4 linked regions of the Notamacropus eugenii genome follow. The protein of the gene in region 2 interacts with the protein of the main gene of each other region in a biochemical or structural test. Links are inferred from orthologs where the notes say so. Each region holds a gene or a part of one and is shown on either strand. Other genes may lie near its edges.

Region 1 (6,995 bases), on a different chromosome or scaffold from region 2:
GAAGAAGAAGAAGAAGAAGAAGAAGAAGAAGAAGAAGAGAAAGAAGAAGAAGAAGAAGAGGAAGAGGAAGAGGAGGAGGAGGAGAAGGCAGAGGAGGAGGAGATAAACTCAAAGGAGAATAGCTTTGACTTGCTGGATAAATCAAGTCATTAATAAACTCACGTAAAATAAAAAAAAAATAAAATAAAATCTTTAAAGTGCTAGTATTATTTCCAGACAGCGTTGTCAGCATGACAACTTACAGGAAATACTTCATTTTCTCATACAAGCCCTGTATTTATTCACAGCCCTGGCATACTATTAAAAAAAATTCTCGCCGTTTTGGAGTTTGTTTGCTTTTTTACATTAATGTGGTGGAATATCTGAGACAGCTTTCTAGTTGAATGCACATCATGTAAGAACTTCAAAAACAGTGAATGCAGTTCAGAAACTTTCATTCTCATTTCGTCCACGTCAAGCACTGGCTTTCACCATTACTTTCCTTTGCCCCCTTGCATTTCTAACTCTGGCAATCTTTTCCAAATGATCAACTTTTCCTAAAAACAAGAGGAAAGTAATTTGATGCCATCAAAATCCATAGGTTTTTCACTTCATCGCTAGAGATTTCTGATGGACTAGTTAGAGGTTCTTTCTTTCTTATTCTTTTTATTAGTCAAAGTAAGTAAAGTGCAGGGCTTTAGTTATCATTACTGGATGATTTTTGTCCCAGGCAGGCCCTATCTGGATTGCCCCTTTGTACTTATTCTGACTCTCTGACCTCTCCCTCTCTCTTCCAGGTAAATTTAGAAAAGTTTAACAAATCTACTTAACTTCTGCATAACTTAACTCTTCCTGACTTTATACTTCACATTTCCTCATTTAAAAGTTTACTGCCAATTTTTCAAAAGCAGCATCAAATTGTAGAATAGGAGAGAAAAGAAATAATCTTATTTGAATTTTATTTTCCTTCATCTTTTAAAGCTTTCTTGCCCATAACTTTCTAACGATCAATACTCTGAAATCTGAAAGTATGGGAGTGGGAACGAGGAAGGGGGAGAATGGAGAACCTAATTTTACTGAGTCGAAGATCCGGTCTCAATCCCGAAAAACATAAATTGCTTTAAAGTCCTGAAGCCATAAAAGTTACTGCCTTCCCCAGGCAAACACCACCATCTCAGGCAGGTACTAACAAAAAAGCTCTCCAAGTCACAAAACAACTTCAAACAACTACCACCCCAGGTCCCATCCTCAAATTGCTCATGGGGTCCTAGAATGGTGGAGATATTTGGAGGCACAGTGGTGTCTGCCATGGCCCTTCAAAGATCCTTTTCCCAAGACCAACATCAAAGCCCAGGGAGCACCAGCTTCAGAAGGCTGAGAGACTGCTTGCATAGCCCTCCATGGGCCACTTAAATTCAAACTACTGTGGTAGCTTTTAATAATTAGCCCCACTGTCACCACTACCCCCAACACACTTTCCCATCATGGACTAAAATAGGAAGTCTTCCTCTTTCTCACAGCCCCCATTCATTTAAAGAACCGTCTCTTTCTTAAAGCCCTGTCATACAAAATGAAAATCGCAAAAGCAAACTGGCCCAAGACTCTAGAAACCACTCCCGACACAGACACCAGAATATGGGGACACTGAAACTCTGCCTCTAAAGAGAGAGGGAAAAAAAGTTTTATGCCTGGGTCTGATAGTTTTCTCAAAGCCACCCAGAATCAGGTCCTCCTTGCCATTCAGAGGACCAGGAAAAGGACCCCATTCGCTTCGCCTCTCTCCTTTCATTCCTTCCCAACCCTAAAAAGTTTCTCCCAACTTACTACTCTTCATGATGGTCTCTAGTTTCTGCCCCGCTTGTCATGATTCCCATAAAACTTCCAGCAGCAGCAGCAGCAGCAGCAGCAGCGGCGGCGGCAGTAACAACACCAGCAGCAGCAGCCTGGGCTATGACTGCAGCAGCTCCTCAGTTGCAATCTCCTCCTGCTCTTCTACTTTGCCCGATGGTAGGGAATTAAAATCAGAAAGAAAGAGACGAGGGGGAGAGGGGAACGGGGGAAAAGGGAGGGGGTGGGGGGGACATCAGCCCTGAAACTTCTTTTTTGGCAAATGGGGATTTGTTTTTCCTCCTCCTCAGCAGCTGAACTTGACCCTCCTGACTCCAGGGGCTACTGCAGTTTGAAGTCGCCAATTTCCAGGGCTCACATGCCTTTGACCCACCAAAACCGGGGAGGGGGGGGGGGTGAGAAGAAAAGAAAGGGGGGAAAAAGAAAGAAAACACACACGCATAAAAAAATGCATGTGAAATCCGAGAAGCCTCTCTGCTTTGCTTTTTACTCTCTCTCTCTCCGTTTTGCAAAGAAAGTCACTTTTAATTCCCAATCCTCCTCTCTCAGCTCACCCACATTTCGCACACACAGAGAACACTTTAGCATGGCCACACTCAGCGTGCGCAATATTATCTTACGTAGCGAGAAAGAAAAGCTGATCACCCCCATGCCTTTCTTTTTCCTCCTGCTGATCTCTCTCTCTCTCCCTCTTTGCCTTTTTTCCCCTCCTCCTTACCTGTTGATTAATCGGCAATAATAACCTCAGCAGCCCGAAAGATGGTGGAGCGGTGGCTAGAGCCATGAACCGTCTTCTGTTGTTTGCAGAGTTGATCTTGGATTATTCAGGGGGGGCGGGGGGGTGGTGGTGTGGAGGGGGGGAGAAAAAAAAGGTTTTTCCTGCCTCCCCCCCTCTCTTTTCCCTCCCCCCCCTCTTTTAAAGAGAGAGAGAGAGAAAGAGAAAGGAAATAGATCTAGGATGTGCCTGATGTGGGTTTTTGGGTTTTGTTTTTTTTTTTGCTTTTCTGTTTTAAAGAAGAAAAAAAAAAGCGAAAACCCAGGGTCTGGAGCAACAACAAGCACCAAAAAAGAGGAGGCTTTAGATTGCAGTGAGATCAGTTCTTTATCAGAAATGTTATCGCTTGTCAGGACCTCGAGCATTACGTCAGTTTCAAGACACCAACACTATTAATATCAAAGGAGCCTTCGCAGAGGAAAGCGCCACCCCAGCCTGAGCTCCCTTAAAGAGACAGTACCGCCGCCGCCGCCGCCGCTGCCGCCTCCTGCAACTCCTCCTCCTGAGCCCAAGGCAGCATCCGCTGCGGCCGCCAAGGGGGAAAGGACGGCTTGGGAGCAGACAATTATTACGAGTTTGAAAGAGCTCCACTGTAGTGGAACATCCGAAAGGGAAGCCACCCCCTTCCCCCACACTCCCATACACACACCCGGGCTTTCTTACCGTGATATTTTACACGACCCCATCTAAAAAGCTGACCAGCCTCCCTCCGCACTGTACCCCCTCCCTCTCTATCTATATCTCTGTGGTAGTGAAGGGGAGCGGGGGGGTGAGTCTGAAAGTTTTATGGGGAATAGGCAAAGCCATCAAGCACTTACCTTAAAGGGAGGGCAAGGAAAGCGGGGGATGGGGAGGATGGGGAGGGGGGTGCCTGAACTAATGTCAAGAAAGGACCCCGAGACTGGTGCTATGACTTAAAAGGAGGGGAGGAGTTCTATGAAAGTTAAGTCTTTTAAAATTTTTATCTTCCTTTATTTACTTTCTCTTCTTTTCCTACCTCTTTATTAAGACTCCACAGGATTTATGCGTGTGTGTATTTGTGTTTGAGAGAGAGAGAGAGAGAGAGAGATAAAGGAATCTAAGGCCACCTCCTTGGTGGTTAGTGTTTTACTTGCATTTTATTACAAGAGAGCTGGGACAGAACAACTTGAACTTTTTCCTAAGTTGGAAAAGTGCAGAGGGATGTTACTGGACTTTTCTGATCTAAGGATACCTCTCTGGGATAAGTTCAGGGATTCCATCAAGCAAATAAAACTGGAATGTCTTTCCAATATTCATAGAGATGAATAGTTATTGTTTGGCTTTTCTGTGAACAGATAAGGAGCCATGAATAGACTTTTTTGTAGACTTTTAAAAATATATTTCACATTTTTATTTGAGAACCCTCATTGTTTCTAATCAATTCCTGACTGTTTCTGAATATGATGTTTTTCACCTCTAAAGCTCATCAGCGTATAAAAAATTACCATGAATATTCAAACCATAGTAGGTGTTAAAAAAAAATAAACATTTATTGGGCATTTGGACATAATTTTTTCTCACTTGGATGACTTTAAGTGACATGTTTTTCCTCTGTACAAGTCATTTTGAACTAATTCTGTGCTCAATGGAGAAACAGCTTATTAAAATTATGAAATGATTTAAAATAGAAATTAAAAAGGCAAGATCATGAAAATGTTAGGTAAAAATGAAGTAATTTCCTCAAAAAATATTTTCCCCGGAAAATGGTTCTTTCGTCTTTCTTTACAAGGAAGATGGTAAACATATTTTGTGATATAGACTATCTTCTGAGATGAAAAAGCAAATCAAATGTAAATTAGAAAACTGAAGCATATGTCTTTTAGAGTCATCATTCTTCTCTTGTATGATCTCCATTTATGTTTATTGCATACCTAGACAGGCAGATTTGTTAGGCGATTCCTTTTTAGTACACGTTTATCCCCTAAGTATTTTTGTAAGGTGTCTATTACACTCTTTATGGGTAAAAGGGCAATAATTCATTGGAATAGAGAAACTTGTCAAGCAAAAGGGGTAGTCAAAATACAATTTCACAATGAGGCACACAATATATTCCCTGAAGGTGGGATAAGAACACTAACCACTTATATACATAGAACTACTCATATATTATCATCAATTGAAATTAATTTTGGAACAGAGTTACATTTATACAATATATATTATATAAAGTCCAGCATGAAGGGAAAATTAATATCAAAATCTTCAGTAAATCTTACAGTCAGCTACTAATAGCCATCTGCATACTTATACACTGGAGTCATTTAATATCGTCAACCACCAATTTCCACAGTAAAAGACATTTATATTTTTAAAATAGACCTTTAATTTTTTTTAAAAAGCTATAAATGAAATTGTTGACCTACATGGAAATATGTGTGGCACCTCAAAAAGAATTGTATCCAAAAAGAAAGATTGGAGTAAGACGTTCATTTGCCATGACATACTTAAAAGTTTGATTTATGGAGTGTGTCTACCATATAAATACGAGGTAGTAGACTTTAAATTATGTTTCTGATAATTACCAGGCTACTCTCACAAAAAAGTTTATATGCTAAAGGGTTAAAATACTGAAAATGACTGAAGCTGTTATTTGAATAAAATTATCTGAGGCTAGAGGATCTTAGAAGCAAGGTTGAAGTAGTAAATGTATAACAAGGGCTGTCTTCTATACCCTCTTCTCTTCTCCTTCCAAAAAAAATCTTACATAGATAAACTGTATTGGTAGAAGAAATTTTAAAGTTAAATGAGCTTCTTCCTAGTTCTCCTTATTTCCAACTTAACTTGTAAGAATACAAATCTTATTTATAGCAAATACTCAATGATTAAATAAATGGGCAAAATTAAAGTACATGCCTTCAAAAGGACAAAAGCTTTGAAATGACCTGCATTTTTCTACCTGTAATAATGTAAAACTCTACCAACAAGTACACCCTAAATTATATATTATACAAAAAGCCAAGACCAATTGTCTAAGGATCAATTATGTCCCTTAAATGAAAGGCTGAAGTGACACTTCAGGTACTAACACCCATCAGTGCTGTTCATGATCACTGAAAATTGAAGCTTTAATAAATTCTTTCACAAACTCAATGTTACTGACATTTCCCTGAAATAAAAAAAAAAGGAAAATCTCTTCTAGTTGCTTTCTTTCTATATTTCAAGTTAAAGTAAAGCAGATCAAGATGATGTCAATATCAATCCATTTACATTGACCACAAAAGATCTGTAGAGAACTTAATAAAAGCACAAAATATTTTCGTAAACCTTTTCAGGCAAATTACTTATTTATTTATGAAATAATTTATGAAGAAAATTTTTACCTCATGCTTTAGATACATTGCATATGCTCATGATTGACACAATATGTTCAAGCTCAAAGGCCCTCCTAGCCCTTTTTTTATCCTAGTAGGAATATTTCAAAACAACCAACTAATACATGAGGTCATAATTGTTTGACAGTTGTTTTCAATATATAAAATAAGTTGTGTATATTGATTTTCTTCAAATATTTGTTGATTTGTTTTTATAGATATATTGTCTTGACATTTGCATAGCATACTCTAGATTAAGGGAATATTAAAGGTTTATTTGCATTTTTTATCTTCTGTTGTCAAATAAATGCAAAGCACTTTAAGTCATTCTTTTATTTTGTTCTTATTTTAAATTTATTTCTGTACAGTGGTTAAAATGCCAACTTGTGCTTTTTGTGACAGACTAGAAAATAAAGCAGAAATTAAGAAAAATCTAAAAGCAAACAAAAGAAACACCGATCTACTTAAACAGAGGGAAGCAGAAATAACTTCTTTATAATCCTTCCTATTTCCTTTAACTCTGGGATAATCTTTATTGGATGGGCCACTGTTAGAATGATTCCTTATGGTGGATAAAGCCCATTATTTATCAAGATGACATAACATGCCTTTCCTGCCTCATTATTTAAATGTCCTTTTTTCCCCCTTTTCTTGTAGTTTATTCAGTGTAGATACAAAGAGGGATTAGCAGTTAAGCATAAGTATACTTGTTTTACAATTTCAACCTTTTAGCACATAACTTACTTACTTACAGTACTAGTGCCTGTAATCACAATGATTTTACCTGATGGAACATGCATTTCAGAAATGTAATCCAACTGTTTACTCTAACACGTCATAAATAGCAATTCTTTTCAGAACCCTCAGAGATTGACAACCCTGCTCCTAAATGCCTTTTGCTTTAGCACACATCATCAAGAAAACATTTATGTATTATTCTCCTTCTGGTTAGCACTATATCATACGATTTTAGTATAGTCTACTTTGCTTTCCAGTATTTCATAATGAGTCTTTCAGAAGCATTTACTTCAGCACTGTGCACTCTTTCATAGCAAGAATTA
Region 2 (8,014 bases):
AATGCTCTTAAGCACAGAGTTAAACTGAAATACTGCAATTTTATTTCTTCCTTACAATCCCTTTGATAATGGCTTGATCCTTACATGATAGACTGAATCACACTTAAAATGCTTCATATTCCCATTACACCTTCTATAACCCTCAGGTACATAACAGAAACTAAGAGATCCATCACTTAGTGAAACAAAGTTCTGGCACATCTGTTTAACAATTCAGAACTAGAAACTGAAACCACTCTAAAGTATCTATCTCCTAACCATTCAAGACTCTGGGATGTGATCTATTTTTGTAATGGAACCACAATAAATTTGTAATGAATCCAAAATTTATCTAAATCCTAGAAAAGTCCCTCTTGACATCAGATTCTAACAGCATTTTCCCTATTAATGAGACATTTAAGATGTTTTTAAACCACCATTCCTTTTAAGTCTAGAAAAAGTTTAAGTTTAAAAAAAAAGTTTAAATTATGGAGCTGAATTTCTAATTTCACTTTATTTTAAATGCAACTTTATTCTAATCATCCCCATAATAACAACACTATTAACTGTGACAGTGAAAAACAAAAACATTAAAAAAAATTTTAATGCGTCCCATCATCTGGAATTAGTACACTCCAGGAAAACCTTTGGTATTAGCAATGTTGCTTTGATTTTAAGCCACTAAAACCAAAAAATGACTGACAGTCATTTCTTTGTCTGTTCAAATTTTCTGTATGTTTAAGATTGCTAACTGGGCCTAACAACCAAAGAAATAATTGTAAAAAAGTCTTTTTTGTTGGACTTATGGTACATTTTGTGTTCTTGCCAACTTTGTCTTCCCCTCTCACAACTGAAAATTGGACTGTCCTTTCACTCTTCCTAAAGGGACAAGGCATCTCTGAAACACTGCCAAAAATGCAAGAGGGAATGGATATTTTTCTTTAAAAAGTGAAGAGAATTCAAGAATAAAGGTAGAGAAGATTTCAAAAAAGCATGAGTATGTAGGGGGTAAGAAGATGTATATAGATTCTACTATGAAAGGATAAAAGAAAGGGCAATCCAGTTTTCCCTCTTACTAACTTCTGTCAATTTCGGCTCTCTATCAGGCAAGTCTTATCTAGCAAACCCAAGAGCTGTTAACAATAAAATCAAGCCCAGAGATTACAAGAATACGGGGAAAAAAAATAAAAAAAAATGAGTATCCCACGTTCTCTTAATCCAACCAATCCCATTTTGGCTGTGTGTCCCTTTCAAAGACCTGATGGATTGTTACTTTTTTTTTTCGGAGGTGGGGCAAAAGTGGGAGCAGTCAAAATGACCCTACTATCACTGAGAAGCTAAATAACCCAATTGAGTTTTTCTCTACCTCTAGATCATTTTTAAAGTTACTTCAGTAAGATCACAGGGAATTTTGGACTATAATTCACTCATCCCATCAGCCTCTCACTGAAGTTTCACGTGGGTATTATTTTGGTTGCTGTGCTACTACCGTAACACCGGATAACTGGGTCCGTACTTAGAGAAAAACTCAATTCCAGGGGCCTTTAAGTTCCTCAGCAGTGCACACAACCTAGAAGTCTGATCATTCAAAATTGTTGGGAAAAGATGCCATGGGGGAGGGGGGTTTGGAGAGACAGGGTGGAACATGTGAGCAGCCTTGGAATACTGTTTTTAAGAAAGCCACCACATTCCCAGGACAGCTCTCTGCGCTATTTTTACGTACCCCTTTCTCAGCTCCCCCAAATCCCTCCATCTCTCTACTAACAGGACTTAATGCGAACAATCAGGCAGCCGAAGGAGGGAGGCGACTCCATCTCGACGTGTGACCTTGGGCCAGTCCCTTTCGCCTCCCTAAGCCTCAGTTTCTCTCTACAGAAGAGGAGCCTCGAACAAGACGAGCTCTTGGGTCTCTTCTGTCCGAGACCTCTCGGCTTGGATGACTCCTCCTCCACGTCTACCTACTTTGAGTGGCCCGTCGGGGGCCTCAGAGAGTCCCAGGAGGGAGGGATGGAGGACAGCAGCTGGCGGCCGAGGCCAGACTGCCCCCCCACCCCCACCCTAGCCTCCTCGGGGAGGACAGATTCGCCGGAGCGGCCCGGCCCAGTCCCCAGGGAGGGAAGCGTCCCAGCTCCCAGCCGGTCTCCGGGCCCGGAAGCCTCGCTCCATTTCCCAGACCGGGTACGGCCCGATGGCTGCAGCCTCGGGAGAAGAGGAGGGAGCGGGGCCGGGCCGGGCCTCGCCAGGAGGGAGGAGGAGAGCGGCGCTGCTACTGCCGCTGCCGCCGGGCCCAGCTCTGCCCGGCCCGGCCCAGAGGGGCTAGCCTCACCTCAGCACGGCCGCGGCCCCCGGCAAGTGTCCCGGATAGAGGCGGAAGGTGCCCGGATGGTCGGTGGCTACGGCGGCGTTTCCCTTTGTCTCGGGACTTTCCCTCCGGAGCCCGCTCCGCGCGCAGCCGGACCCAAGACGGCAGGACCCCGGCGCGGCGCGGCGCGGGGCGGGGCGGGGGGAGGGGGAGGAAGCCGCGGGCTGCCCCGCCGCCCGCCTGCGCCCGCGCGCTGCCGCCGCCTCCACCCCCGCCGCTGCTGCGGCTCCCCTTCCCCCACCCCTTCTCGCCCGTGCCTTCTAAGTCCCTCCGGCCCCACTGGCTAGGCGGGTTCGCCTCCCCAGGGAGCACGACGGGGTACGAACTTCGGGCGTAGGGACCCCCGAGGAGTAATTTCTTCCACAGGCAGGGACTTAGCTACCTGTACACTTAAAGGAGCCGCGACCCTAATACTAGGGATCATCTGCAAACTACCTTTCGGAATGAGTTCGTTCATCTGAAGATACGCGTTGAAGGAATACAGAAAAGGGGACGCAGGAAATCCCAATGGCTCTTCGGATGCTCGGAGGGAGACCCCAAGGCTTCCAATCCCCGAGGTCCCCTAGTCAGATAGAACCAAGAATCTTGGGGAAAAATCCACTGAGGCCTACAGATCAACCCGAGCATCTCAGTGTCCAGATGATCCCCACAAGCACAGAGACCTCTGAAACCCTTCCGGATTGGTCACTTCTGAGAAATGGGCGGGGCTTACCTCATATTCAACCAATGAGAGGGATCGGTACAAAACTCCGGATCCTGCCGGATAGACGGAAGTAGAATTGTAGACGGTCCCTAAGTGACAGCGGGGGCCAGAGAGGAATGGGGGAGGGGCAGGCTACAGTGTGGGGGAGGGGCGAGAGCGAAGGACCCGGAGCCAGGGCGGGGGAGGAATTTAGTGGGCGATCCTCGAAAGGCCTCCCTCCTTCGGCCTAACTCGAGGCCCTCCCTCCCGTATGTAGTGTAGACTTTCCTTCGCTTGGGTCCAGAGCAGGCGGGGGCGGGGGGAGACTTCGAGAGCCCCGGCTTGGCCCGGGCCCAACCAGGCCGAGCTTCCGGCGAGGCTCGGGCATGGCCTCCTCCCACTACCCGCCCCGGGGTCCTCCGAATGTAGACTCGTAGCCCTGGAAGCTGCCAGGGAGCTTGGAAGGCATCCCTTCTCCTGGACGGCGGGGCCCCCGGGCCCAGAGAGGCCGGGCGCTGGGCCAAGGTCATTGAGGCATTCGAATTCAGACCCCCCCATTCCCAAGGTCATCTCCGGCCTTACCCATGGGTCTCTGTGTTTGCTAGATTAGAAAGGCTGAGCTGGGGACGTTCCATGGAGGGGGCCGAAAAGGTGACGTCCATCAGCATCTAGGAGAAGCTGCTTAAGTCTGTCCCAAGAGATCGGAAGAGACCTTAGCAATACCTTTCTCGTGCCACCTCCCAGACCCAGCTCTCATGCATTCTCCAAGAAGTCTTCCTCTGATGCCCCAATTTGGAAGTGATATACCTTTAGAATGGAAAGAACCTTAGAGGTAATTTTACACATGGGTGGCTCCCTGTTGCCTATACAATAAAACACACCACTGTCCATGATGCAATTTCAGCTGTGGATGAGCGTGGGCTGTTCCTCTATAACTGGGATATATTTTATTTCTTCATTTGGCAAAATCCATTCCTTCAGCCCAGGGGCCACCTCTTCCTTGAAGCCTTTTCTGATCCACCCCAAATTTTCGTAGATTAGTTCAACTGGAGTTATTCCTTTGCTCTTGTGCTGTTTTATTTTGTATCTTATTTGTGGACACAAAGCCTCCTTCCCTAAGGCAGCTAGGTGGCATAGTGCATAGACTGCTGGTCCTTGAGCTAGGAAGACTCTTCTTGCTGAGTTCAGATCTGGCCTTGGACACTGAGTAGCCATGTGGCCGTAGACAAACCACTTAACCTTGTGTACTGCAGTTTCCTCACCTGTCAAATGAGTGGGAGAAGGAAATGGCAAACCACTGCAATTTTTTTGCCAAGAAAACTCCCAGTGGAGTCACAGAGAGGCTTGCACAACTGGATAACAACAGCTTCCTCTCAAGTAGATTGTACACTAATTGAGGTCAGGAATGGTTTCATTTTCTGCCTCTGTGTATCACCTGGCAATGCCTCTCAACTCTTAAGAAGGTCCTGCCAAACATGGTATCCCACCTCCAAGGTGCTCTGTATCGCTTCAGATGCAGAGATCAAAACTCACATGCCCTCGATGATGTGTTTACTTATCAGTCATACAACTAATTCAAAGCAAAGGCATTTAATGAAATTGCATGGAAAGAAAAGTAATAAAACATTTCCCCCATAAATCTAATGCAGACACATCCACAGATAGATATTGGGAAGGGTAGACATGTAGGCCAGTGGACACACAGGACAGACTTACAGTTTTGACCTAATAATGATGTTCTCTGGTACTGTTATAGCACTGCTCTTGCTGGGCCTCCTTTCAACTGACATCCTGAGGCATTTGGTCTCTGCCAAGTGTATAGGCTTTGGTGGGTTTTCTGGGCATGATGTGTAGTCTCTGCTGTTAGGCATTCCTACCACTTGACTTTTCTGATTATTTTGTAACTTCTACCACAACTGGGTTCATTGGAAATGAGTTTATGGTTTATATAGGCTCTAAATAGTTCTTAGTATATGCCTAGTTACTGATTGATTTCAGCTTTTGGCTGCAGCTGGTGCCTAGAGGTGCTAAGATGCACCTCTTAAAGAATTAGCACAGCTGGCTCTCCTTTTACCTTAAAGGCTTAAGATACAGCTCTTTTAGAAAGAGAGGGCTCTTTCTATTCCCAGTAATGAGGCTAGGGAAAATCCTTAGGACTTTGGCTTTTTCTTGGAGACTTTATGAGTTCTCAGAGCCTTGGTCCCTTCTAGATCCTAACTCTACCATCACAAGGCATTGGGATGTTAAATGTTTGCATCAGTCACCCCATCCCACTTTAAGGAATTACCTTACCTCTCTTAGAACACTTCTATTGAGTCAATCAACCAGAACTGTTAAAGTAGGTGCACAAAATGCTTAAACGGTTTGGAAGGAGTGGAAGTCATTGACTGAGATCAAATGATGAGGAACAGAAAGTATTTGGGATTGGTTAAAGAGCCAAGTGGGTCTGTATAAAATAACAAGTCAGTTGGAATTTCAGCTGGGATTTGAGTAACAGGCCAGCTCGGGGGTCCGAGGAGTTCCAGCTAAGTCCCTAGGAGGGAATTACTTGTCTAGGAAGAGAAAGGCCTCTTTCTCTTTCCATCTCTTTTTGAACTTCAGAGGGTTGGAGGATATAAAATTCTCTTGTATTCTACCAGTGTTCCTGGTATCACAGTTGCTGTTAGCATTTTCTTCGGGAATTGAGGACAAACTAGACTTTAGGAAAAGAGTTTCTTGACTTTATGAGGAGCCCAGCAGAAAACTGCTCCTCCTTCAGAGGACTCTACAAATGGGAGAAAAGGTCTTCTGATCTTCAAGAGCTGTGAGTTAACTCATTGCCACATGTATTCTCTAAGGTTAAGTCCACTTTCCTCTGGACTCTGGATTTACTGTGTGGGAGTATACCTCTGGTGTGAGGTGACATGGGGTGTTTTATAGTAACTGTTCTAATACCATCTTAGTAAACCATCTATTTCTACAAGCTAATGAAATCAACAATCAGTGATGTTTTGTTTGTCCTTCATTTTGGAAGAGGATTAATGACATCACAAGTGATATCTTGACTTATGAATGAACTGAATTTAAGTGAGGCAACATTCAACAAAGTCCCCAGCCTCACCATCTTCTTCCAGAGTCATTGAAGTCCTGTGGGAGGACAAAAGTCAGGACAGCTGGTAATGACCTGGGATGCAGTAGGGGACCTTGGTGTATTCATTGTCTTACCAAGCTCTAAGGGCTCTACAATGCCTGCTTCATCTACCTTCACGGTTGTTGGAACAAATTGTTCTCATCTGCCCATTCCACTTGAGTAAGTCTTCACATGCTTTGGGTGGAAATCCTCCTAACCCATCAATGGGTTTGGGGCCTGTTGGTTACTCTCAACCTAATTTAGCCCATCTGCTAAGAGAGTCTTACTGGGGTGTGGCCACTCCACATGTGGCACCATGTTGGAGCTACAGGTAGGTTGAGCAGCCCTGAAATGGATTTGGTAAGCCCTCCCACCAGAAGTGCTAGTCCTCCCTGAACAGCCCAGGTAGAAGCATGACAATAAGACTAGAAAGTGATTCCTGGCCCCTCAGCATTGCCTCCTAAAACTTGAGAGGAGATGTAGGGACCCAGCCTACTAGTCTGAGTGGGATTTGAGAGGGTGAGTCCTAAGTATGGGCCATGTCAGATTGACCTATGTCTTTGTGTTCCCAGCATGTTGTGTGGATGGCTTAATAAATATTTGATGAGTTCACTTTGAATCTGGGCTACTCCTCTGCCCTTATACATCTCTTACTTAGCAAGAATAAGTGACTTATAATAATGGCTGGCTTTTATATAGCTCCTGTGGTAAGCACTTTTAGTATCTCATTTGAGACTCACAACAACCCTGGGAGGTAGGTGCTATTATTATTTCCATTTTACAGATGAGGAAACTGAGGCAAATAGAGGTTATATGACTTGCCAGTGGCATACATCCAGCACTTCTCTGAGGCTGCATTTAAACTCCAATCTTCCTGACTCCAGGCCTAGTGCTCTATCCACTGCACCACCTTGTTGCTTCCACCTTCCTCGTGGTTTCACAAGTGATCCTTCCCTGTTCATACCTTAAAAATAAGTCTGTCTTCATTCCACAAGCACTTATTCAGCACTCACTTTGTGATAGACAGGATGCTGGGGAAACAAAAACAGGAAACAAAACTGTCCTGCCTTGGAGAAACTTGAGTTCTCTTGTGGGAAAGTGAATACTATGTACACAGATAAGTGAATTACAAAATACATGCAAAGTCAATATAGGACATGGTCTCTTGTGTACTATAGCTATTTCCCAGAATCCTGGAACAATATTTCAAGTTGAAAGGGACCACATAGGCCATCTACAGTAATGCAACCAGTATCTGGCCCATGAATCCAAATTATAACATCCCAAGGAAGTAGTCATTCACCCTCCAAACACCTACAGAAACAAGAAACTAATTAGTCCCACCTCCATCGCCTCAAGGCAACCCACTTTTAGATAGCTCAGACTGTTTGGGAAATTAATTCTTATGCTGAGTCAAGACCTGCCTCTATAACTTCTGCTCTTGGCTTCTAGGTCAACCATCCAGAGGCAAGTAGAACAAGTCCAACCTCTCTTCCCCATAGTTGTCCTTCAACTATTTGAATGAATGACTATGCCTGCTTCAGCAAAACACTCTAAAAAGTTCTGGGGGTATAATCTTTTCTCTAAAAGAAGTTTCAGATTGAAATCAAGTAGAAAGGCACAGGTGTCCTTGAAGTGCAGAAGTGAAGCGGGCGGTAATGTAATATCCTTTGATGTCCTTTCTGTTGATAAAATCATAACTGTTTCTGAAATTGAACCATTGGCCAGGGCTTTGGACTTGGTGACAAGAACTTTCTTTTTTGAGTCTTTAGAGGCTATTGTATTTCAGCAGTGGTTGAGATGTTCAGCTTAGCTGGAAGCAAGAAAAGTGGTCAAGGGCCACTGTTCCTAGGACTCATGGACTATGGGTTCTGGGCTGTTT
Region 3 (7,925 bases), on a different chromosome or scaffold from region 2:
TCCGACCAGCAGTCAGGGAGAAGCAGCTTACAGAAGGCAAAAGTGTGGTTATATACTTCTAACACGGAAACTCCCCCAAACCACCCCCCCCAACAGCTGACCCTTTTCCCCCCATTGACTGGGGGTCAGGCTTACAATCTAAACACGGAAAACTAATCCCCTTACACGGAACAAGGAAACAGAAGTTCAGCCAATACAGATTTCAAGCAAAATTCATAATCGTTTTTGGATTGCGTGGGCTGAGGTGGCACTTGGGTCTTGGGTTTCATAAATTTCGGGTTTCTATTAATCATGTCACTTTAGGGAAAAGGAAACTTAGACCTGCTTAATCTGGCCATGTTACTAAGAAGTATTCACCTATCCCACTCACCTATCTTCCTCCAGTGCCCTAGTAAAGGGAAGATCCTATGGCAGAGAGATTATTTGCATGTGTATGTTTGTCCTTTGCTGCCAAAGAAGACCATGCCATCAGAGAAATGATGACATGACTTGCACTTGACTTTGTTTTGACTGAGGGAAGGATGTGCAGATCACCAGCCTCACTTCTCCTCCAGAGCCATCTGAATCCTGTGAGCAGATATTCATCAGGATGACTGGAGATGACCCAGGATGAGGCAATTGAGGTTAAGTGACTTGGCCAAGGTCGCACAGCTAGTGAGTGTCAAGTGTCTGAGGTGAGATTTGAACTCACCTGCTCTATCCTGCTCTATCCACTGCACCACCTAACTGCCCCACTAGTGCATGTAACTCTTCAGTTAAAAAGGAAATTTCTAACATCTCTTTCCTCCTTTCCTAAAATGAAAAGATGTATTAATATTGACTTTTTGGATTAGATATTCATTTACTGATACCAAGATTTAATTACTCCCAAAACAATTCTTCAAAATTATTTCTTATTAACTGTCATATCATTAACAATTTTATAAACTGACAAACTCACTGTGAGACCTTGTGGAACAAGTCACGCCCCCTCGGTGAGCCTAAGTCTCCTCCTTCCTTACGCTAGATTATTGCTGAAGTCTCTTCCAGCTCTGACATTCCATAGGTTTGTTTCTATGAAAACCAGTACCCCAGAATTCTCAAATACGAGAAGAAGTTTAGGTCTGCAGGAACACCTACGCTTACACACAGGAAGAGGATTCAGTGCTTCCTTCGCTCATAGACCTATTTGGGCAGACTTGGGATTTAGAAGTTGTTGCATATTTTTGAGGTAATGGCAGGAAAGAGGAATGGTGCAGGGGCCCAGCTGCCAATTTCAGTCTCCCGAGTAAGGATTTTCCTGATCAAGTAGTACAGTCAATGTGGTGTCAGTACAGGTAGCCCTTGCACCATGGGCATTTGGGACTGTTTACATGTCAGAATGAAAAGCCTTTAGTTCCTGGAGGTATAACAGATGCAGCCAGACTTTGGAATCAGGAAATTTTTTTGTTTCTGGTCATACTCAGCATCTGTGTAACTGTGGGTAAGTCAATAATAATAAGGCTCTCTGAGCCTTATTTCATCATCTGTAAAGTGGGCCTATCTTAAGGGTTGTGGCATGTCTCAAATGTATGGGCAACACTCCCTCTGGCCATTTCCCCAATTCTCATTTATATTGGCCAGCTGAATTCCCGGAGTGACTATCTACCACTTTCAGTGTCTTAGGGGTAGCTGTGAGGAAGTGAGTTTCTAGCTCAGGAGCCCCCACTGATGTGCTTCCCATTGATAATCCTCTAATGTCCTCAAAATAATTTTTAATGAAGGTATTTACTATGATGGTATAGACTTGAAATACAGTGGCAAGAATGGTAGCTGGGGAAAAAAAATCCCCCCCCCCCCACCTCTGGGTATACTCCCCAACAAAAACACACAAGATTGATGGATAGAGCAGGTAGAAATGTAAAGCACAAAGGGTGTGAGGCACACATGGCAAAGGGGTAATTCAAGATTCCTGGTTAGTAGTAGTCTGGTTCTTCTTTCAAAGAATCTTCACGAAGTTCTCTTGAGGAGTAGCAGCATCTGTTGGGCTTGGAAGGTCAGTGACTTATAGAATTAATAGCTGGTCAGTTCTCTCTGCCATGAGAGTTTTATGGTCTTTGATGCCTCCCTGCCATATGTACTCTCTGCTACTGGCCTAGTAGCTGGATAAACTCTATTATTGATCCAATAACATCTTTACAATACCATGGTTAATAGGTAGCGCAATTCCCTCTTACAGGTTTGGATAAAACTTGAATCCACAGGATTGTAACTCTTCTACAACTAGGGTCCCAGGTATATTTCTATTTCTATAAACACAGGTTTTTCCAGTGTGATGTCATTTATCTGTCTTCATCCAATGATCAGTCCTACAATTCTTTCAAATTGATTAATATACCTATAGTTTACACTTGTGATTGAATGATTCAGTCTAATAGTCTACTCCTTCTAAGACTGCATACTAATATATGTAAATCACTTTGAAAACTTTAAAGGGCTATATGTTATAGTTATTATTTCTGTCTCTGGAGAATTAGGTCACAGAGGATAGATGCAACAAGAAAACTCCTTCCCCCCTAAATTACCACTAATCCAAGTAGTGCTGAGCCAGTGTCTCCATCCTGTACAGCGTGATCTGCTCAGCTGTTAAGGCTTTCAAGTCAGGATGGCAGAGGAGGAGGGCGATACGGATGAGGGAGATGTGTTCTTGGCATTTGCCCAGGGACCTACTCCTCCCAGGGGCCCCTTTCTTCGGGCACTAGATAGGGCCTTTTTCATTTTTCTTGCCCTCTTCCTGGCAGTGCTGATGCTAGAGGCTGCCTACAAGTTGCTGTGGCCAATACCCTGGGCAAACCTCTGGGGCTGGCTGCTTGGAACACCTCAAAGAGAAGAGGAACTGGAGCTGTAATCACTGAATGACTCCTCCCTCTCAACTCAGGTGAGAAACAGGACCAGAGATTGAGGTTTCCTGGGAGGAATCATGTGAGACGGTGGTAAAGGAGTAGAGAATAACAGGAAAGGAAGAGAGAAGAGGGAGCTCACAGTGAACGGCTCCCATTGCTTCTGTAAGATATCAGACAAGTTTCTGACAAGGTGGGGGGAGGGGAGGGCCATGGGAGGCTCCAAAGATGAAAAAGTTTGGAAGAGCCCTGGGTGGAGGGCTGACAGCTGGGAGCCCCTCATGGAAGGGGAGCTAATAATAATAACTAGTATTTACAGAGAACTTGGAGGTTTACAAAGTGCTTTGCAAATATTATCTCATTTGTTCCTGATTATACCCCTGGGAGGTGAGAGGTTCTATTACGGCCCCTATTTTAAGTAGGAAGAAATTAAGGCAGGCAGGTTTTAAACAGCTTGCCCACGAGTGTGCGGGGCAGGACTTGAACTCAGGCCCAGCATTCGGTCCTCTGCGACACCCAGCTTCCTCGGATGATCTAGTTCACCTGCTACTTTATAAAGGAGGAAACTGAGTCCCAAAGAGGGGAAGACATTCGAGCTGAAGCAGAACTAGAGCCCAGGGCTCCTCCGTAGCTAGGACACTTGAAGAAAGAGGGGGACATACCCAGGCTCCGTGGGAGGTAGGAGGGGGCGCCCCCGCTGCCCCAGTCTTGTTAACCCTGCTTTCTCCCCCGCCAGGGACCAGAACACGCGCCAGGACCAGTCCTGTGTCCCCCCGGCCTCCCCACTCCCCCCAATAAAGCTGGGGTTCTGTGAGAAGCGTCAGCCTCCGCTCCTTTCCTCTTCTCTCCCCCCCACTCGCCCAGGCAGAAAGAGGCCATTGGTTTTTTAAAAGCCTCGTTTCCAGTCTTGGACTCTGGACGCCCTTCACCTTCCCCATCATCACTAAGTGCTCAGGGTCCACCGGCCATTCCCACAGGGCGGTCCCCTCCAGCCCCGGGACCCCCAGATGAAGAGAGAGTCTGAAGCAAGAGCTCCCCGCCCCCACCCCGCAAGGCGAGACGGGCGCATCCCCACGCCCTGGAGGCCGCCATCTTGCGGTACGGCAGGTAAGCCGCAGCGCCGGGTGTGCGGGGCCAGCTCTCCCGTCCCTGGGTTGCCACGGTGACCTTTGAGGGCACTGACGCTGAGTCGGCGTTTTGCTCTTCGGCCCCCAAGGTTCGAGATCGCTACTGTTTACATGACTCTCCTGAGCGGTGGAGAGAATGATTACTTACGCGCACACATTCCGTACGGAGAGGAATAATCCCGATTCACAGAACCCGCAGCCCCCAGGCCGGTTCTTGGGGCTCCAAGAGGCGGTTTGGAAGGTCGGAGTGGCCTGGGCACGCACCAGAGGTGGAGGCAGGGTCAGACAGCAATATAAGCCTTGGAAGAAAACTTTCCCTTCGTAGCTCGCCTAAGTCCTTCTGGCAGGCCTGGGACAGACGGTTCCTCCCCGCAATGGACCGAACGGTCCACTACAGTGATCTCCCCGCCCCCCTCCATGCACCCTCCCACCCGCCAATACTAGTTTGGGAGCGCTATTGGGCAAACGATAGGGAGAGCAGAGGGACGCCGGTGTCTGATTGGTGGAGCAAGGGTTCCATCTCGTGACCACGGGTTGGCAAATCCCCGGAGGTATATCCATTCCCCACTGCCTGGCCTCGATTAGATTGGGTTCCCTCAGTCTTGAGGAATGCCGTACGGCAAGATGGCCCCCCCTTTCCCCTCAAGGACTTCCGAGTCCTCAGGCCTCAGAGAAGCCCTCCCCTCTGAGGCATTTGGTCGGAGTGGGCCAATGAAACCACCGGGAGACTTGCAGTCCGTCTCCCGCAGAGGGATCCAGCAGGTAGTTTGTGTGTCGTCACTTCCTATATCCCTCGGTTGACTCCATTAGGGTGGGATGGCGGCGCCCAGGGACGTACGGGGCGGGGCTGAGACATGATCGCTTCCGTTCCTGCGCGTTGTCTGACGCGGGAGGGGGGGCGGAGAGTGTGAGAGAGAGGGAGAGGGAGAGCTGAGGGTGACGGAGCGGGGGGCAAGGGGGAGGGGGGAGGGACGGACAGCGACGGTGGAGGCGGCGGCCGCGGCGTAGGGACTGTTTCTGAGGTGGGGGCCTCACGAGGCAGGCGGGAGGAGGGAAGAGTCTGAGGGGAGGACCCGGTGACAAGGCTGGGGTGGGGAGAGGGGGAAGGCGGCCGGAGACTCTCCCTTGAGGAGGAAGCGCGTGCGCGCACGGGGGCGCGCGCGCATGTATATATATATGTGTGTGTGTGTATGTGTATGGGAGTGAGTGCGAGAATGGGGGGGCGGGGGCCCAGAAGCGCCTACGGGGGGGCTTGGCTAGGGGCTTCTGCGGTCCGGCGAGGGGGCCGTGAGCGGGGACCATGAGGACAGGAGGAAGCGTCCGCCGGGCCCGTGCCCAAGGAAAGCCCCGGGACTGCTGCGCTGCTGACAGCCCCGAAGGGAGAGGCGAGGACAGACAGGCAGACAGAGAGGCTGGGTGAATGAAGATTTGAGGAGCGGAGCAGAGAGAATCGGTCTTTAACGGGTGTGAGATGGGCCGCACGGAGGGCAAGGATGGCAGCCCTGCTGGTGCCTGACACAGGGCTGATGTTTTAAGAAAGAATAAGATCCTGGTGGCTGGCAGCAGAGAAGATGGGACCGGAAGTGGAGGGGAGAGGATTGAGGGTTGGAGCCAAATGGGTGGGACTTTAGAGTTTTGGGGTGGGGAGGAGGTTGGGGGCCTTGGAGAAAGCTTGTGGAGTCAGCCTTGTCTCAGAGGACTAGACACTCTCACGACAGGGAGGTCAGACCGAGAAATCCTTGGGTAGGCAATGAGCAGGGGAGGGGGGAGCAGGCATCTATTGAGTAACGTGAGACTGATGCTATAAGGTGTGAGAATGGGGGGGATGTCCTGGAGGGGCTGTCTCTGAGGCCCCATCCCCCCCAGCAGGATTCCTGAAATCCCCAACACCCCCACCAGGGGCTTCGCTCCCCCCATGGCTGCCGCTAACAGCATTATCGTACTGGATGATGAGGAGGAGGATGAAGCAGCTGCCCAGCCAGGGCCTTCCTCTCCACCCCCAAATCAGGCCCAACCCCTGGCAGCAACCTCTGATTCTCCCCAGTCCAGTGGGGAAGGCAGCAGCAGTAGTGGGGGCAGCAAGAAATGCTACCAGCTGGAGAATGAGAAGCTGTTTGAAGAGGTGAGCTGCAGGGGAGAAGGTTCTTATGCACCAGGGAGGGGGAGCCAAAGAAGCTGTCCTTAATCACTTTGTCCTACTAACTCTATCTTTCTGTTTTTCTCAACCTTCTCCCTTGTTTCATTTCCTCCAATCCCTCGGACTTCCCCCTTCACCCTCCCCTGCTCCACCCCAGTTTCTTGATCTGTGTAAGAAGCAAACTGGAGAACACCCTGAGGTCGTCCCATACCTCTGTAACCGAAGGCAACGTGCTCGTCCTACGTTCCTGGCCTCAGCTGAGCTCCGAAATGTGCTGTCTCGTGTCCTCTCTCGTGCCCAAACCCGGCCTACCAAGCTCTATGTCTTCATTAATGAGCTTTGTACACTGCTCAAAGCGCACTCGATCAAAAGGAAGGTGCCCCTGACCCCTGCTTCCACTGAGCCCCCTGGGGATGCACCTCCTGCCAATCCTTCCTCCAACCCTGCCCCTACCAATGAAACTGCTCCTGGCTCCCCACGACCCCGAGGTTCACGGAGACAGATCCAGCGCTTAGAGCAGCTGCTGGCATTGTACGTGGGAGAGATAAAACGACTACAAGAAAAGGAGCTGGACCTATCGGAGCTAGATGACCCGGACTCTGCATATTTGCAGGAGGGGCGGCTGAAACGCAAGCTGCTAGGACTCTTTGGGCGTCTGTGTGAGTTAAAAGCATGTAGCTCCCTGACAGGCCGTGTGACTGAGCAACGGATACCCTATCGGGGCACTCGATACCCAGAGGTCAACCGCCGTGTGGAGCGTCTCATCAATAGGCCTGGTCCAGACACCTTTCCTGACTATGGGGATGTCCTTCGGGCTGTGGAGAAGGCAGCCACGAGACATGGCCTCTGCCTCCCAAGGCGACAGCTCCAGCTTCTCGCTCAGGATGCCTTTCGAGATGTTGGCACCAAGTTACAGGAGCGGCGCCATCTTGATCTTGTCTACAACTTTGGCTGTCACCTCACAGATGACTATAGGCCAGGTACAGGGAGTGGGGCCACACACACTAGACCTGTGGGGAGGGTGTTACTCCTTAGGCTTTGGAGCTAGGCGTTCTGGTTCCATGTCTTCACACTGCACACCTCCCTCCTACCTCAGGCATTGACCCTGCATTGTCAGACCCTGTCCTGGCTCGTAGGCTTCGGGAGAACAGAAACTTGGCACTCAGTCGGCTGGATGAAGTGATCTCTAAATATGCAATGATGCAAGATGAGAGTGAAGAGGGTGAGAGACAGAGAAGGAGAGCCCGGTTTTGCCAAGGAAACTCTCCTCACAATGAAGACCTTCCAACAGCATCCACAGACTCGGGAGAGGTATGGAGGCAGGACAGGGGATGCCAATGTCAGATCAGATATTTCTGAAGGACTGAATCCTGCCCAGGTCTTATACAGGGAATCTGTGGGGAAGAGAGTAACTGGTTGTGGGAGGTGAAATACTCAGGAGAATAAAGATTTAGGAGAATGGTTTCATTAAAGGCCTTCCCTCTCTTGCAGGGCCCTAGTGGAGAAAAGTCCACATCCTGCCCCACTGTCTCCAAAGTTGAGACAGATGAAGAGGAGGAGGAGGAGGAGGAGGATGAAGATGAAGATGATGATGATGATGATGAAGATGAAGAGGAGGAAGAGGATGAAGATGAAGATGAGGAGCTCACCGATTCAGAGGAAGAGATGGAAGAGAGCCAGGAGGGCCCAGGGGAGGAAGATGAGCCAGGTATTATGTGAGGATGCCATTCCCAAGTACCATTCCCAAGTTGTTTTCTCCCTCCATATTCAGTTTCCCATCTTGCACTCCCATTTTCTTCCTAC
Region 4 (7,903 bases), on a different chromosome or scaffold from region 2:
GAGGATTAGTAATGAATTCTAGTTTGTGATTCCCCCTATATGTGACTGAGGTAAAGAAGTGAGTTATAGGACTTGAGACTGAAGAATTGGGAGAATGGAACATTTGTGGCTATTCAAGTCCCCTAGTAGAACAGGATTTGGGAAGGAAATTAATATTGTGAACCTGGTACTAAAAGCCAAGAAAGTAGGGGAATATGACCTGGGGATCAGTATGACACAAGTAAAATGTGGATTCTGTGAAATGTTCAAAGGAGAACAAAAATAAAAAAGAAATCGATAGTCCCAAACAAGGGGAAAAAAAAACCTAAATGGGCTGCTAGATCTAATTCTCTGTAACAAAATTTCTGTACTTGGCAATAGAGATTAAGTATCTCTAAAAGACACAACATGCTTTTCAGATAATAAAACTGAAAAGATAAACTGTGAAACAATGCACTATATTTCGATACAATCATGAGTGATAAAACTTTTAGGATCTCCCACCTATCCTTTAGGCCTACTACAGTTTATAAAAGAAAGCTATTTACTTTATAGGAGTCATCCTACAGAAGACATAATTATGTATTCTCTGCACTATAACCTATTTTATTTTCATAAATTCTAAAATCCTTTATCAATATGCCCCCATGCTCCCTTTCAGCACTAAAATCTATGATCCTATGTGGAAATTCTAACTTGCAGTGAACCATTCCTATCCTGAATTTCTACAGCATTTACCTTGTCAAATTCTTTTAAATATTTAAAATATGCTACCTCCTCAATTAAATTTTAAGTTCCTCATGAGACAAGTGTGGTGTCTTATACTTTTGTATTCCCTAGAACTGTGCTAATCTGTTATCTTGAGTGTAAAATTAATTATGAACCTTATCAATTTAGCCAATATGTTAATGACCCACTAGGTGGCAAAGCAGTGATGCTAAGGATAAATAGATGAAAGTCTCAGTCCTTGAGGAATTTACAATCTAATGTGATAGATAAGACAGACAATCACAGTCTGTGCTCGATACTTACCCTTTACCCTTCACTCTAGAGGCAGCTGCATGTGATGAAGGGTGGTTAAGGCTTGCAGTTAGGAGAGCTGTGTTCCATTCCAGCTCCAACATTTTACTAGCCGTGTAATCATAGTCAAGTCACGTGTCAGTTTACTTATCTGTAAAATGGGGATCAGAGTTTCACAGATTTGGGAATGGATAGGATCTTTGAGGTCATCTAATCTAACATCCTCATGTAATTACCCAGGACAATAAGGCTCAAAGAAATCAAATGATCTATTCAGGATCACACAGGAAGTAGTACAAGAACCAATATTTGAATTCAAGATTTGACTGATCCAGCACTGTTTTCTGCTGTAAATAGTTAGATTACCTTGCAGGACTGTTTTGGTAAAGGACTTTATAAATCATGTATATGTGTGTGTATATACAAGCATATATATCATATATATCAAGCATATATAGTGCTTGATAAACCCTTTATATGTATACAAAGCATACACACACATACACAAGTTTTATGAAGTACTAGATTTAGAGTTAGCACATCTGGGTTTAAATTGCAGCTCTGCTGGTTCGTTAGCCATGTGTATTTTCTAGGCCTAGGGTTAATCATTTTTTAAAAAGAACTGGACTAAATCTCCAAGACCTCTTTTAATACTAAATCTTATATGAAAGATCTAGAGAAAGTGGCAAGCAAAATGTAGAAACAGATCACTTTAGAGGGCTGGAGCACGTACGTAATAGAACACTTCACAGAGGTGACACCTGAGCTGAGTGAAACTTGAAAGAAGAGTTTGTGAACAAGAAATCTACAGATTCTTGTATTCTAGACAAGGGGGGCAGTCTATGCATATGGCCGGAAGGAGTACAGACACCTAAGCAAATAGGAGTAGAATGAAATAAGGTAGCAAAGGTAGTTTGGAATCAGATTCTAGAGGTCTTTCACTACTAGGTAAATGAGTTTTTATTTTATCCTACAGGCAAAAGGGGAATGACAACATGGGATCAACGCATCAGGAGGGTCATTTTAACAAACATATAAAAAACATTTTAAAGAGATGAGAGACTGAAGGCAGGGCAACTAGTTAGGAAACTTACTGCAACAGTCCACGAGAAAGGTAAAGGGAGAGAGGGACTGCCTTGAACTAAGGCAGTGGTAACGTGTGGTCTGGAGAGACTGCCAAGGCAGAACCTACAGGTCTTGGCAATTCTTCAGACGAAGCAGTTCGAAGGGCATTCAGGGTTTGGGGCTCCAAGGAGGACATACTGAAATTCAGGCACTAAAGATGTCCAACAAGGTTTCGCAAACATCTTTTCAGCTTAGTTTAAAACTGTATGAAGAGCCTGCATAGGACTAGAGCTCAGGGCAAAGATAAGGAGCTAGACACAGAGGCGGGAGTTATCTCACTTAATTTAAACTGAGACGAGACGAGACAATCTCAGTGCTTTACAAGACCAAAAGAAAAGAGAAGGCAACCCTGCCCTGACGGACGAGCTTCCATCGGCGCTCTCAGGGCTCGCCCCGCACCGGGCACCGGGCGCCGCGGGCACGCAGCCGGGTTCTCGCCCTCGGGTCTCCCTGGCAAGTCGCTCCACTCATGGGGGGAAGACCGGACAGCGGACCGGTCCCGCGCCCCCGACCTCAGCGAGCCCGGCAGGAGGGCAAGCCCGTAAGCAGCGGGCACGGGCAGGGGGCGGGGCCGGGCCCGGCCCCTCTCCGGGCCTCAGTTTCCTCATCCGGCAAACGAAGGCGTGGAACCACAGGGCAGCCTCTCTGGGATCACTTTGAACCATAAGCCGGGACCCGAGTCCTGGCACTCGCCCGCCCTCCACCCACTCCTCCCCAGCACGCTCCCAAAGCCGACTCACCACTTACCCCAGGGCGCGCTCGTGGGGGGAGACGGGGGATGGCTTCTCGCCACCCTACCGGAAGTGGGGGGAACTCCCGGCAACGGGACCGAAAGATCCGGGGAAACGCGGGGCAGCCGGACTCCGCACAAAGACCTCCGGGCGTCGGCAAGACGGAGAAGCGGTCCCGGTAAAGGAGCAGGACTGCAGTGAGGCGTTCGCCCTCTCCACTCCCCCCCCTCCCCCAGCGTCCGAGCCCGGCCAGCGGAACTTCGGCCCTGAGGCCAGCCCGCGCTTTTGGGGGGGAGGGGAAGGGGCGGAGGGAAAGATAGCTGGTGCGAGCTGCCAAGAGCCGGCCCGAGCCGGCCCCGCCCCTTCATCGGGGACGCGGCGAGACGTCACGAGGTTGGGCTTCCCCGTCCTCCCCCCGCCTCGGCTCGGTTCCCCGGCTCGCGCCAGGCCCCGCCCCTTCGCCCCTCCTTAAAAGGGCGGGCGGGGCGCGAGGGGCCGGCTTCGTCTTAGCGCTAACGGTTTGGGCGAAGAAAAGTCGGGCCGGCAGAGGCCTTTGGGGGATACCTTGGAGGGGGCAGAAACCCCGGGCATCTGTGCAGAGGTCTCAGGAGGTATCAGAACTTGGATGGGAAAAAATGTCAACCCGAACAGCCGAAATCTTTCTCTTCACTAACCGTTATAATGCATTTCCTACTTTTATAAATTAACCTAATTTTAAAAAACCAAAGTATTTAAAAAAAATACCCCAGGGGATGCGTAGGCTTTACCAGACTGGCATACGAGGTGTATGGCACAAAAAGGTCGAGAGCCCCGCGCTGGGCAATTGTGGGTCTTACAGGTCGTGCCCAAGAAGGGCCTTTTGATGGAGGATGTGCGGAGGGCTTGGTGCGCGTTATCTGATTTACTGGGAAGTAAAGGTAGTAAGCGGAGGCCCCCAAAGTGTGACGGAAGTGACTGGAGTTAGACGACTACCCCTGGTCTTTCGATTGCGAAGTAATCGTAAATGGGCATTTTTTAGGAATCAGGCACCCTGCCAGGTCTGGAGGATACATTTCAAAATAATAGGGAAATGCCCTCAATGACTATATTCGTGTATGAACGTATAGAACTGTAAAATATTTTTATATAATGATTATCACAAAATATACACAAACTCTAAGTTAATATATTGGGGGTAAGGTGGTTGTGATCAGGAGAAACACCATGCTGTGATGATCTGGGGCGAGCACAGGAAGAAACTAAGGATTCTGTGAGGTAGAGGTGAATAGGGGGTGCATTCCAGGCTTGGGGGGCAATTTGTGGAAAGACTAAGTATCCTATGTTCGAGGAAGGGTAGGATGGCCAGTTTGGCTCTGCATGGTGGTGTGTGTCAAAGAGCTAACTGGATAAATCTGGAAAAAGCAGGTTGGAGCCTAATTTTGAAGAGCTTTGTATTCATTGACTCTTTCACTACTGTCTTCCTTAAGCTTTAGCTCTCAGGATATTTGAGTTATTTTAGAAAATAATCTAGCTAAATTCAATATATGGCTTTACATATAATGGAGAAAATGAGCCCAATACCAAACACAAAATTAGGTGATACTGGACACAATTGTGCTGAGAATTTTGAGTTGGTTTTTTATCTCCTATAACTATTACATCTATAGACTGAAGAAGGTTTAAGTTGTTTGATATAACAGAACCTAGTAGAATTTCATTATCTCAAAACCCAATCTGTTTTGCTAAAAACGATGAAATAATTAATTTGAGGAAAAATTGAGAAGCTTAAGGCAGCTGGTACGTTTTGAAAAGCTAAAAATTTTTATCTATGGTACAATAATCCTATGCACTGGCCCAAAATATTCACTTCTTTATGGTACTTATGGCAAGATTTATCTGACATAAAGTGCTCTTCATGTTTGCCACCCACCTTGCATATGAAGAAAGTGCTTTCTATCTTTAAGAATAATCGAAATTAAGCCAAGGAATACTGACTAAATAATGCTTATTTTGTTCTTTATGAAAATTGTAAAATAACAGTGTTATTTTAAATAAAATATGCTACACTTAAGCAAAGTTGAAAGCATTAAAATCTTAAGTATTTTTGAGGACTGGAGTTAAATGCTTTACGTCAAGAAAGGAAATCCTGTATTAATGGGCTTGTTGTATGTTACATAGCAGAGTTAAGAGGGTCTTTTTTTCTTTGGGGAGGGATATATAATTTTTTTCCTCTCTTAGTTTACACAGTGACATAGGAAACTGAGTTACATGAAGCCCGTACTCTAGCAGAGGTGTTATGCATCTTTTAGTAAGGTGGCTTGTAATGCCATCATCTAATTTGGACTAGATTCAATATGACTAGTTTCAGAACAAGAAAAAAGGAATTGTTTTAGAAGTCATTATAAGAAGCAGTTTCTTAACTTTTCTTCGAGAGTAAAGAAGATAGCTTACAGGCCACGTGGAGTTGAGGAAGCAAATGCAATTTCAAAGCCCTTTTTTGTGCCCTCTCCAGAAACTATATACAAGGGAAAAGGCAAAATAGAAGCCTGAAGTCATCACTAAAGACTACTTGGACTATAGTCCAAGCAAAAAGATAGCTCCTTAAACTTAAATTCATATATATTAGAGTCCAGATCATCAGATTGTAAATTCCCTTAGAATCTTCCTTCCAATTACATTTACATCCTCCAAAGCTCAATAGTATGCACATAATCAGAGCTAACTAACATTTATATAGTGCTTACGAGGTACTAGGCACTGTGCTAAGTACTTTACAGTTATTTTCTCATTTGATCCTCACAACAATCCTGGGGAGTAGTTTTACAGATGAAGAAATTGAAGCAAATAGAGGTTAAGTTACTTGCACCCACTAAGGCACACAGCTAATTAAGGGTCTGTGGTCTTCTGACTCCAAATCCAGTGCTCACAGATTTCTGAAATTTGTAAAGCAGGTGCTAGTAATATTAGCTACCAGACCCATGAATGTTGTGTTATTTTATGTCTTGGTGAGCCTGAGTAGGTTGAAAAAATCAAATAAAAATGAGAAAGTGTTGGGATTATTTTATAGTTATTTCTCAAGAAAACCACAGTTATAGATCCCCAAAATCCAGTTGAATTATAATTCCAGCCATTTGGGGATATATAAATTAAATAACTTGCCTCTGGGCTTCTCTCAAAGGAATGTTTTATAGCTAATTAAATGACTGTAAAGTACTTGTATGAATACAATGAAGTGCTAATTAATGAAATGAGAAAAGATAATTCTGCCTGTATTCAAATATATCAGTGGTCTTTTTTGGGTAATAGAACAAAAGTATTAAGATACAGGTAGATTAGGTAAGATACAAGTAAATTATGGTGACTTCATAAAAACTCAGAATTGAGATCAATGTCTGAAATTCATTAGCTTTATGAATTCCTTCTCTGGAATTAAAATGATCTAATTCTCCCCTCCTCTTTTTCCCCCAGGAAGCTGAAGTATATTATCTCCCTTTATCATTTTGGAGGTACATGTGTAGGCAATTGTTTCCTTGGAGGCAGAGAAGTTTTGGGAGTTACTGCTTTAGCATTATTGTGTGCCAGTTAGTACATCGAAAAATCCTGACTTAAGCTGTCAGATCTAATACCTGGTGTTTAAAACAAACAAACAATACATATACATACAAATATGTGTATGTGTGCATGTGTGTGTATATATATATATGTACAGAAGATATGAACTATTCTGAATTTAAGTTGCACATGGTTAACTTATATCCTTATAATTAGTTAGTTTCATTTATTTAATTTCTTAAAGAATTCATGATTTCACTGCTGTGTGTCTTACCCCACCCCATTCTCCACCTTCCACATCCCACACCCTCCATACCAGACTGAGACGTTGAAGTGGTACGGTAGACAGAACATTAGGTCTGAAGTCAGGAAGACTTTTCAAATATGGCCTCAGACACTAACTATCTTGGTGACCCTGAGTACTTTCTCAGTACTTACAACCTCTGTTTGTCTCAGTTTCCTCAAATGTAAATTGGGGACAATAGTACCTACCTCAGTGTCTTTGCCAAGAAAATCTCAAATGGAGTCACAAAGAGTCACACATGACTCAATCAACTAACAACAACCACCTAGGGTTAGTTGTGAGAATCAAAGAAAAGGTATTTATAAAAAGCTTAGCACAGTGTCTAGCTCTAGCACACAGTAAGTACTATATAAACCGTCATCATCATTGTTATCATTAGATTGGATCCCTCTTTAACTTTAGCTAATGGTCTTAAAGTGTTGTTGTAGGCAAGAAATTTATCACCTTGTGGCCAGCCTGGTGAATAGGTCCCCTTCAAACTTGGCCTGACTAGTTGATCCACAATAGATTACAGTCTCTCACCTGCCAGACTTAAAGTTTTTCTAGCTTGGAAGGACCTGCCAGAACTTGTATTCTGCTTGCCTAGCCTTTGAGAGCTCAGGATCTCATCCAGAACTTGATGAAGCATCAGAGAAGGACTTCCGTGGAAGAACTACTGGAAACTACAAGAATTTTGTTTCATATTATTTTAAACCAGGTATGAAGAAGACTATGACCTAAGGGAAAGATAAGAGAAACTAATGAGTGCTTTTTATCTCCAGACAGAACTACTAATCCTAAAGCGAGTTATGCACTAGAGCTATTTGCACTGTTGCAGAAGAAAAGTTAAAAAAAAAAAAAAAGACAAGAGGATAACTGCTTGAGGCAGGGGGAAGCACCTGGAAATGAGTTCTAGGATCATGAATCTGGAGTTGATTGAGGTCATCCAGACTAACTTCTTATTTTACAGATGAGGAAACAGAAGTCTATTGTTACATAACTGTTTTATAACAAGTGAAGATTCAAATTCAGTCATTCTGACTCCAAGTTCCGGCATTTCCCCCCACTATACCCTTAAGCGCTTTAATGTTATAACAGAAATTGTAGAAACAATGTTTGCAATAGTATGTATAGGGAGAGGAGTGGAATATTCAAGGATGCAAATTGCTGACACATAGCTCCCACTATAATTTGAGCTGTCCAAAAGTGGAATGGCTTGCCTCGAGAAGTGATA

Evidence for each region.
Region 1: of the proteins of UBE2I (region 2) and TRPS1, one has a biochemical effect on the other in vitro, tested with the Homo sapiens proteins (2 studies listed by BioGRID). The link is inferred for Notamacropus eugenii from reciprocal best matches to the Homo sapiens genes UBE2I and TRPS1.
Region 3: of the proteins of UBE2I (region 2) and DAXX, one has a biochemical effect on the other in vitro, tested with the Homo sapiens proteins (5 studies listed by BioGRID and IntAct, with this or other methods). The link is inferred for Notamacropus eugenii from reciprocal best matches to the Homo sapiens genes UBE2I and DAXX.
Region 4: the proteins of UBE2I (region 2) and RBBP8 form a complex in vitro, tested with the Homo sapiens proteins (2 studies listed by BioGRID, with this or other methods). The link is inferred for Notamacropus eugenii from reciprocal best matches to the Homo sapiens genes UBE2I and RBBP8.

The regions. Positions count from the first base shown.
Region 1 is NC_092875.1:130,540,500-130,547,494, reverse strand, and holds the start of TRPS1 (zinc finger transcription factor Trps1), read right to left. Parts: upstream 3,017-6,995; 5' UTR 2,546-3,016; intron 2,190-2,545; exon of another isoform or gene 1,814-2,189; coding exon of another isoform or gene 1,804-1,813; intron 1-1,803. UniProt on the Homo sapiens protein: Transcriptional repressor. Binds specifically to GATA sequences and represses expression of GATA-regulated genes at selected sites and stages in vertebrate development. Regulates chondrocyte proliferation and differentiation.
Region 2 is NC_092872.1:49,691,979-49,699,992, forward strand, and holds the start of UBE2I (SUMO-conjugating enzyme UBC9), read right to left. Parts: upstream 3,007-8,014; 5' UTR 2,777-3,006; intron 2,514-2,776; exon of another isoform or gene 2,306-2,513; intron 1-2,305. UniProt on the Homo sapiens protein: Accepts the ubiquitin-like proteins SUMO1, SUMO2, SUMO3, SUMO4 and SUMO1P1/SUMO5 from the UBLE1A-UBLE1B E1 complex and catalyzes their covalent attachment to other proteins with the help of an E3 ligase such as RANBP2, CBX4 and ZNF451.
Region 3 is NC_092873.1:89,342,499-89,350,423, reverse strand, and holds the start of DAXX (death domain-associated protein 6), read left to right. Parts: upstream 1-4,916; 5' UTR 4,917-5,007; intron 5,008-5,854; exon of another isoform or gene 5,855-5,884; 5' UTR 5,885-5,900; coding exon 5,901-6,107; intron 6,108-6,279; coding exon 6,280-7,102; intron 7,103-7,218; coding exon 7,219-7,433; intron 7,434-7,613; coding exon 7,614-7,830; intron 7,831-7,925. Other genes in the region: SMIM40 (small integral membrane protein 40), read left to right, coding at 2,624-2,866. UniProt on the Homo sapiens protein: Transcription corepressor known to repress transcriptional potential of several sumoylated transcription factors. Down-regulates basal and activated transcription.
Region 4 is NC_092875.1:246,866,829-246,874,731, reverse strand, and holds the start of RBBP8 (DNA endonuclease RBBP8), read right to left. Parts: upstream 3,010-7,903; 5' UTR 2,872-3,009; exon of another isoform or gene 2,865-2,871; intron 1,151-2,864; exon of another isoform or gene 1,012-1,150; intron 1-1,011. UniProt on the Homo sapiens protein: Endonuclease that cooperates with the MRE11-RAD50-NBN (MRN) complex in DNA-end resection, the first step of double-strand break (DSB) repair through the homologous recombination (HR) pathway.